Linked DNA regions of Coturnix japonica. The protein of the gene in region 1 interacts with the protein of each later gene in a pairwise test. Links are inferred from orthologs where the notes say so. Each region holds a gene or a part of one and is shown on either strand. Other genes may lie near its edges. The genes, in order: DHPS and EIF5A2.

What was found.
Region 2: the proteins of DHPS (region 1) and EIF5A2 interact in binary tests that used the Homo sapiens proteins (3 or more experiments, as listed by UniProt). The two-hybrid records come from large-scale screens. The link is inferred for Coturnix japonica from reciprocal best matches to the Homo sapiens genes DHPS and EIF5A2.

Annotation. Positions count from the first base shown.
Region 1 is NW_015439889.1:91,653-96,177, forward strand, and holds the start of DHPS (deoxyhypusine synthase), read left to right. Parts: upstream 1-1,684; 5' UTR 1,685-1,720; coding exon 1,721-1,966; intron 1,967-2,609; coding exon 2,610-2,774; intron 2,775-3,310; coding exon 3,311-3,432; intron 3,433-3,517; coding exon 3,518-3,614; intron 3,615-3,688; coding exon 3,689-3,775; intron 3,776-3,874; coding exon 3,875-3,980; intron 3,981-4,054; coding exon 4,055-4,158; intron 4,159-4,240; coding exon 4,241-4,366; intron 4,367-4,437; coding exon 4,438-4,525. UniProt on the Homo sapiens protein: Catalyzes the NAD-dependent oxidative cleavage of spermidine and the subsequent transfer of the butylamine moiety of spermidine to the epsilon-amino group of a critical lysine residue of the eIF-5A precursor protein to form the intermediate deoxyhypusine residue.
Region 2 is NC_029524.1:17,439,256-17,443,572, forward strand, and holds the start of EIF5A2 (eukaryotic translation initiation factor 5A-2), read left to right. Parts: upstream 1-1,224; 5' UTR 1,225-1,325; intron 1,326-1,539; 5' UTR 1,540-1,555; coding exon 1,556-1,720; intron 1,721-2,685; coding exon 2,686-2,790; intron 2,791-3,149; coding exon 3,150-3,281; intron 3,282-3,714; coding exon 3,715-3,774; 3' UTR 3,775-4,317. UniProt on the Homo sapiens protein: Translation factor that promotes translation elongation and termination, particularly upon ribosome stalling at specific amino acid sequence contexts.

The DNA.
Region 1 (4,525 bases):
TTGGGGGGGAGAGGTCCCACTCACTCCTTCCCCCCCTTCCCCCATACAGGGAGAGGGCGGCGGTGCTGTGCCTCTCCTTCTGCCCTGATGCCATCATCACAGGAACCTACGACAAAACAGTGGCTGCATATGACCCACGAGGTAAGTCCAGCCCCACACATACGGGGTGGCAGCACTTGGAGGGCACAGCTCTCACCACCCCACCCCCCCACAGCAGCCCCCCAGACCCCGGTGCGATCCTACAAACCCCACAGCAGCGCAGTGTTGGCGCTGGCAGCCGATGACCGTCTCATCGTATCTGGGAGTGAAGACCGAACCCTGGTGGTCATCGACCGCCGTGCTGACGGCATCCTGCAGCGCCTGCAGGTGGGGCTGACCCCCAAGTGTGGGGCTGGGGGCTCCATCCGCCTCACATTATTCACGCCTTGGGGGCTGATAATCAATGTTTGAAGGCTGGATTTGGGGTTTGGGGTGCAGCACTGTTCCCCATCCCACTTTCTCCCCACAATGTTGCAGCACCGCTTGCCCCATAAGCCCGTGTTTTGCCCCACAGCTGCAGCATTACCTCCTCTCCATGTCATATCGGGGGACGCAACTCTGGGCTGGGGACAACCAGGGCCGGGTCCACGTCTTCGGGAACAGCGACGGCCACTTCCGAGCGGAGCGGGTATAAAGCCACATATAGGGCTGGGAGGGGGGTCTTTGGGGCCGTACCCCTCCCCTCAATGCCCCCATTGCAGCGCTTCGACGTGGGACACCGCCTGCAGATCACGGGGCTGTGGCAGAATGCAGGATCTTTGTACACCACCTCCACCGACCGCACCATGCGGGTGAGGGACCCCAACCTCACGTGGCGACCCCCCCACCCCACACTGGGATTGAGGGGTTGGGTTGTGTGAGGCTGGCGAGGTGCCTCCCCCCCAATTCCCATAATATCTTAATGGGGGGAGGAAGAAATGGCGTCTCTCTGTTACAGATCCACGTCCCCACGGACCCCCCCCGCACCATCTGCTCCTGGACGCACGATGATGTTCTCAATGGGGTAAGGGCTGGGGTCACATTTTCCCTCCTGGACGCCCCGTTGTTCCCACCCTCTCCTGATCTCCACCATTTCCCCCAGATCAGCGTCGAGGGCGACGTGGTGGCAGCTGCCTCCGGGGGGCTCTCGGTGGAGGTCTGGAAGTTTGGAGGCTGAATGTGGCTGTGACCCCCCCCAGGAATGGGGGCTTTGCCCCTCAACCCTCCTCCCCCCTTCCCATGGCCAGAGATGGGGACCCCCTGGGGGGCAGAGGGGTCCCAATGGACTCAGAGGGGCCCGTTGTGCAGGAATTAAAGGGATTTGGCTGGAGGTGTGTGGCTGTGGTGTGTCTTTGTGGGGCAGAGTGGGGTCAGGATGTGGGGGGGTTTGGGGTCAGGATGTGGGGGGGTTTGGGGTCAGGATGGGGGGGTTTGGGGTCAGGATGGGGGGGTTTGGGGTCAGGGTTTGGAATTGTGGGGGTTAGGAGTGGGCCTAGATTCGGGGATTGGGATTTAGAGGCAGATTACGGCGGGATTTGGGGTTTAAGAGGTTCAGGGTTTGGGTTTTCGACAGAGCTCTCCACCGTTTGACGCTTCGCTTTCTGGCGCCTTTTGACCCACTGCGGCCACCGTTTCCTCTTCAAGATGGCGGCGCTCCGACGTACTGCGCCTCCACCGCGCAGGCGCAGGGGGGCGGCCCAAGATGGCGGCGCCCATGGGGCCCACGGAGCTCAGCGGCCCCGCGGAGGAGCCGCCGTCGGGGGAAGCCCCGGCCGCCGCCCTGCACGCGGTGCTGAAGCGCAGCGCCCCGCTCCCCGCTCAGACGCTCCCGGTTCGCGGATACGACTTCGCGGACGGCCCCGACCCGGGCGCGGTGCTGCGCTCGTTTCTCACCACCGGGTTCCAGGCCACGAACTTCGCGCGCGCCGTCGCCGAGATCCGCCGCATGGTGCGGGGGGGCGGCACCGGCACCCCCCCCCCTTACCGGATCCGTCCCCCCCTTACCGGTTCCATTATCCCCCCTTACCGGTTCCATTACCACCCCCTTACCGGTTCCGTTTCCCCCCGCCTTTACCGGATCCATTATCTCCCCCCTTACCGGTTCCGTTTCCCCCTTACGGTTCCATTATCCCCTACCCGGATTCCATTATCTCCCCCCTTACCGTCCATTATCGGCCCCTTACCGGTTCCATATCACCCCCCCTTACGCTGGATCCATTACCTCCTTACCTGATCCATTATCCCCCCTTACGGTTCGCATTTCCCGCGCCCTTATCGGGTCTATTATCTCCCGTAATACGTTCCATTACCCCCCTTACCGTTCCCATAGTCCCCCTCTTCACCGGTTCCGTTTTCCCGCCCCCTTAACTGAATCATTATCCCTGCCTCTGTACCGGTTTCCGTTTCCCTACCCCCTACCGGATCGCATTAATCCCCCCTCTTACCGGTTCCGTTTTCCCCCCCTTACCGGAATTTTTCCCCAAAATTTTTTTACCCCCCCTTACCGCGGATCCATTACCCCCCCTTACCGGTTCCATTACCCCCCTTTACCGGTTCCGTTTCCCCCCCCCTTACCCGGTTCCGTCCCGTAGATCGCTGCCAAGATGGAGCCGCTGAGCGCTGCTGAGCGCAGCCGGGCTGAGCTGGGGGGCGCCGCGGGGGCGGCTTCGGGCTGCACCATCTTCCTGGGCTTCACCTCCAACCTCATCAGCTCCGGGGTGCGGGAGAGCATCCGCTTCCTCGTGCAGCACCGCATGGTACGGGGGCAACGGGGGTAACGGGGGTAACGGGGGGTAACGGGGGGTAACGGGGATACAGGGTGATATGGGGGGGGGTCCTCAGTTTGTTAGCCACCCCCCCAGTCAATTGCTGGGGTCCTGGGGGAGCTCACAGAGGGGTCCTGGGGTACAGAGATGGGGTAGAGAGTTGTGGGGGGTTCCTCACATTGTTGAGCCCCCTCCCCAACCCTCGGGGGTGGTAACGGGGTCCTGGGGCACCTTGGGGCAGTGTGTGATGGTACGGGGGGACTGCGGGGAGGCTGTGGGTGTGGTTTTGGGGGAGGGGGTTGGAGCCTGGGGGTTCCCCTCTGATGTGGGTGGGGGGTCCTGGGGTCCCTGTGGTGTCCCAGTGTCCCCAGGGGTTCTAGGGGTCCCTGACGTGTCCCCAGGGGTCTCTATGCTGCCCCCAGTGCTTTGGGGCCGCACTGGTCTCAGTACCTTGGGGGAGGGGGTCTTCAGCGCTGGCCCTGAGGGCTCCCTGAGCCCCCCCCCCACTCTTGCCCCCCTCTGGGCAGGTGGATGTGGTGGTGACAACAGCGGGCGGTGTGGAGGAGGACCTCATTAAATGCCTGGCACCCACCTACGTGGGGGACTTCAGTCTGCGGGGCCGGGAGCTGCGGCAGAACGGCATCAACCGGTGTGGGGACACCCGGGGGGAGAGGAAACCGGGGGGGGGATGTATGGGGGGGTATGAAGATGTCTGAGCACAACCCTCCCCCCAGGATTGGAAACCTGCTGGTGCCCAATGATAACTACTGCAAGTTTGAGGATTGGCTGATGCCCATCTTGGATCAGATGGTGGAGGAGCAGGAGACAGAGGTGGAGCTGGGAGGTGTGGGGGGGAACGTGGGGTCACTGGGGGGTGGATGTGGGGTCACCTGTGGGTCCCACAGGGCGTGAGGTGGACGCCATCACGGATGATCGCACGTTTGGGGAAGGAAATCAACAACCCCGAGTCAGTGTGTTACTGGGCTCAGAAGGTATGGGGGCATCTCTGCCAGCGTCTATCCTGGGGGGGGGGTCCCCACACTCCCATGGGGGTCCCCGTGCTCCCCTGTTGTCACCACATCCTCCCCCAGAACAACATCCCGGTGCTGAGCCCAGCGCTCACTGACGGCTCTTTGGGGGATATGATCTTCTTCCACTCCTACAAACACCCGGGGTTGGTGCTGGACATCGTGGAAGGTGAGTTTTTTCCCCATGGTGGGGGGGGGGATGACAGCAGGACCCCTCCTGGTGACAGCTGTACCCCCCCACAGACCTAAGGCTCATCAACACGAGGGCCATCTTTGCCCGCAAGACAGGGATGATCATCCTGGGGGGGGGACTGGTAAAACACCACATCGCCAACGCCAACCTGATGGTGAGGGGGGGGCTGTGGGGAGGGGGATTAGGGGGGCTGGCAACTGGGGACAGTGCCCTCATTGTGCTCCCTCTCCTTGCAGAGGAACGGTGCCGATTTCTCCGTCTATGTGAACACAGCTCAGGAGTTTGATGGGTCTGACTCTGGGGCGCAGCCGGATGAGGCTGTTTCGTGGGGGAAGATCCGAATGGACGCCACGCCAGTGAAGGTGAGGGCACAGGGAGGGGGTTTGGGGGGTGCTGGGGGGGACGCGAGGGTCTCCCTCTCCCTCTCCTGCAGGTCTATGCTGATGCTTCGCTGGTTTTTCCGCTGCTGGTGGCGGAGACGTTTGCACAGAGAGCAGCTGACTTCCCAGTGCCCACAGATG
Region 2 (4,317 bases), on another chromosome or scaffold:
TGAGCCCAGCATTGTCCTGTGCTGTGTTGAGTTTGCCGGTAACAAGGCTGTGTGTTTGCCCCAGGGCTGGCTGCGATATACATGGCTGAGGCTGGGCTTTAATGCAGTGCTTCAGGGCACCAGGCACTTCTTCATGATATGAATGAGTTGTGCCCGTTCTTTGCTATTTGTGACCTTCCAAAGCTCATTTCTGCCCACTGCTCATTTCTGCTGTGACTGATATGAACACTTAGAGAGATGAAGATCAATAACGCACTGAGCATACTCAGAAGAAGAGACACAGTCCAGGTGTGTGCAGTGCTCTGAGCACACGTACCAAAACAAATACATGTAAAGTGAGACCCCGATGGTTACAAACACGCCTTGAAACCAAACTGCTGGTGCTGTATGTATGTATATATGTATGTGTGTGTGTGTATGTGTGTTTGTATGTATATAGGTAGGTAGGTAGGTGTGTGTCTGTGTGTATGTATGTAAGTGTGCGTGTATGTATGTGTGTATGTATGTATGTATGTAAGTGTGTATGCATGTATGTATGTGTGTATGTCTGTATGTGTGTGTATGTATGTGTGTGCGTGTATGTATGTATGTATGTGTGTATGCATGTATGTATGTGTGTATGTATGTGTGTATGTATGTATGTGTGTGTATGTATGTATGTGTGTGTGTGTGTATGTATGTATATGTATGTATGTGTGTATGTATGTATGTGTGTGTGTATGTATGTATGTGTGTGTATGTATGTATGTATGTGTGTATGTATGTATGTATGTATGTATATGTGTATGTATGTATGCATGTATGTATATGTGTATGTATGTATGTGTGTATGTATGTGTGTATGTATGTATGTGTGTGTGTATGTATGTATGTGTGTATGTATGTATGTACGTATGTGTGTATGTATGTATGTGTGTGTATGTATGTATGTGTGTATGTATGTATGTATGTATGTATGTGTGTATGTATATATATATGCATGTGTGCTCCGTGTTCGCAGCGCCCCCTTCAGTCCTGTCGGTGCGATACACCCATGTCTCCCCCCTGCGTCCTCGCTCCTCTCCCGTCTCCATTTGTCCCACTCCGCACTCCGTACCTCCCCGCACGTGTCGGTCTCAGTGCCGCGGGGCGGTGCGGTGCGCTGTGTGCCGGCCCAATGGTCGCTCATGAACGGAGCGGAAGTTGTTGGGCGTGTTTCGGGGCGTGGTGCTCTCTCTGCCCGCCGCCCGCCGCCCCTTCCCGCCGCGCTCCGCAGTGGTCGGGCGCGTGTGCGCGGCGCCGTGTGCCCCCGCCCGCCCTCCCGGCCGCCCCGCCGCGCTCCGCAGGTAAGAGCGGCCGAACCAACGCTCCCCTTTCCCTTACCCGGCTCCCGGCCGCTCCGTGCCCGGCTCTAACGGCTCTAAGGGCCGGTTGGGCCGCGGCGCTGAGGGCCCCGAGGGCGGGCACGTGGCGGGCGGTGCGCGGCGCTCCGGTATCGGGGTGGTGGGGGGTGGGAGCCGGGAGGGGGGACACGCGCTCGGACCGACTCGGTGCGTTCAGCCCCGCAGCCGCCGCCATGGCCGACGAGTTGGACTTCACGACGGGCGACGCCGGCGCCTCGTCCACGTACCCCATGCAGTGCTCGGCGCTGCGCAAGAACGGCTTCGTGGTACTGAAGGGCCGCCCATGTAAGATCGTCGAGATGTCCACCTCCAAGACGGGAAAGCACGGCCACGCCAAGGTGAGCGGCGGCACCGCGTGTACTGCGACACCAGCGGGGCCGGGGGGTTGGGCCGGGCAGGGCCGGGGGCTTCTCATTGCATCGGATGGTCGGCGGGATCGCGGGGCGGCGGTGATAAAACGATGAGCGATGGGCTGGGTAAGTTCTGGAAGGGGCTGATGAAATCCCCAGGGCGTGGTTGCACCGCGCTGGCCGCCCCAGCCACGCTCCCCGGGCCGCGACTGGTGCTGCCCCAGCAGTTGGCTCCGCAGCTGTCCGGGCTGGGCTCCACTAAGCTCGTATGGTGAGGCGGATCTACAAACACGGGCTCGTTTGCTATCTTAAGTTTCCACAGCCTCATGTGATACGCGGGAAGTATTTAGCGTTTGGTCAAGCTGGAGGCTGCCAAGACTCTGCTGGGTGGTTTTTTTTTCTGTCCTTCTCATTGCACTTCATGGCAAATCCCTTTTTTCCCCCCCCCCCCAGTCTTACATAGTACTGCTAAATACTGAACCGGTTGTGAGAGTGAAGAGAGCTGAGTAGGGTGGGCTGTAAATTGCTAATCCATGTGCTCTGAGCAGCTGCTGCAAGCATTGGGAGGTGGGAGCTGCTCTCATCTCAGCACGTGGTCGTTTCTGTTCTCCTTGACCATCCTGTTGTTTCACACAACAGCTGGAACGTGAAATAAATGTTCTTTTAACAGTCACAAAACAGAAGTTGAGAGCATTGAGCTTTACCTTGTGTTGTAAAATGATTAGAGGTGAGGACTGTGGCCTTCACTCGTTTCCTTTAGTGGATGATCTGAAATATGGAAGGACACCTGAGGGGCCTCTCACACAGCATGCAAAGGATTTGAGGACAATCTCATCTCACATGTTAGCTTTTAAAAGACAAGAAGCCCCATATGGGACCAGCAGCGCTGATTTCAGTGCTGTTTGGCTCCTGTAGGATGAACAGGAACTGATCTTCTTTCTTTTTCTTTGTAGGTCCACCTGGTTGGTATCGATATCTTCAATGGGAAAAAATACGAAGATATTTGCCCATCAACTCATAACATGGATGTCCCAAATATAAAGAGGAATGATTACCAGGTGAGTTAATGTTATCCTCCCACATTTCCATAAATCTACAACTCCTAACACTTCAAGTAAAGTGTTTTTCACCACAAGACTGCTTGTCAGTTAATACAGTACTGCTGCCTTCAGAGTTTGGCAAACTTGTCTGTCCAGATGTGGCACTGCTGAACCAGGAGCATTTACTCAACAGTTCAAGTTGTCAAGAATTGTCTGGATAGAAATCTCCTGCTTACTGTGCCATCAACCTCACAGGGCAAATTAGGTTCTTAACTATTAGAAACACGGTACTAAAGAATTAGTGTAACAGCTGTCTGTGCCTTCTGCTCATCTTGCTGCTCGTGTTAAACATCCTAATAATGACCTTCTCTTTGCAGCTGATAGGGATTCAGGATGGGTATCTCTCCCTGCTGACAGAAAGTGGTGAAGTTCGTGAGGATCTAAAGCTGCCAGAAGGTGACCTGGGAAAAGAAATCGAAGGAAAATTCAATGCCAATGAAGATGTGCAGGTAAGAATAGAGTTAGGCAGGCAAGAAGAGAGATGTTTAATTGGCCTTGCCTGACATAAGAATACGTGTTCTCCATTATGTAGTTATTTGTTATATGAAGAAAGAGTTAAAAACCTGGGAATTGGTTCCTTGGCAATTAGGACATCTGTGTAGGGGCACACAGTGTGGCACTGAAGCCCAGCTCTGCTGACAGTGATCTGAGTCTCAGATATCAAGATAGATCCTAGCAGTGCTGTTTGCTTGGTGTAGATTGGAGCTTCCACTCTTTCTTGTGTGGAGCCTTGCGATGTAATCTGTGCTGTATAAACACCTTAAAGCTGAAAACAAATCTTGAGATGCCACAATCTTGCACCGTCGGGTGTGATCGCCTGTATCTTCTAGGAGCAATTCTGCTGTGGAGGGTTGGAATTAACCTGTGTGTCTTTTCTTTCAGATATCCGTCATAAGTGCAATGAATGAAGAATGTGCTGTAGCCATAAAGCCTTGCAAATAAAGAGGATCGCCAGGCACGGGCAACTGCTCAGGTCTGGATAAACCACAGATCTTTAAATTTGGTTCTGATTGTCACCAAAGCTCTGGCCTTCACAAGCAACCTCATTTCTTTTTTGAATTGTTACAAAGCAGTGCTGGATTCTGGATTAGTGTTGCAGGCTAACTGGCAGTTTTCAAAATCACTGAGATTTTAATTCCTTAATTGTAACTATTTTAACATTCCTGTGGGTTTCAGCTCTGGATCTAAGAAACCGTTCAGGTGTTACTAGTGGATATATTTTTTATTTGCTTGAGCAAAACAGTGTTTGTCTGTATGAACAGACAAAATACAGTATTCAGGGGCTTTTAGATAAGCTAGTAGGTATCTAGGATTATAAAGTGACCTAGAGCACAAATAGTATTTTTCTTGACATGTTTAGATAGAACTGACAATAAAAGTAGCTTTCTTTGTTTTGTTGATTATATTTTTTTTAAAGCTTAACAATTTTGTGGATTGGACTCTTGCAGAACTGTAGGTACCAATCACAAATTTTAGACCAAGAAA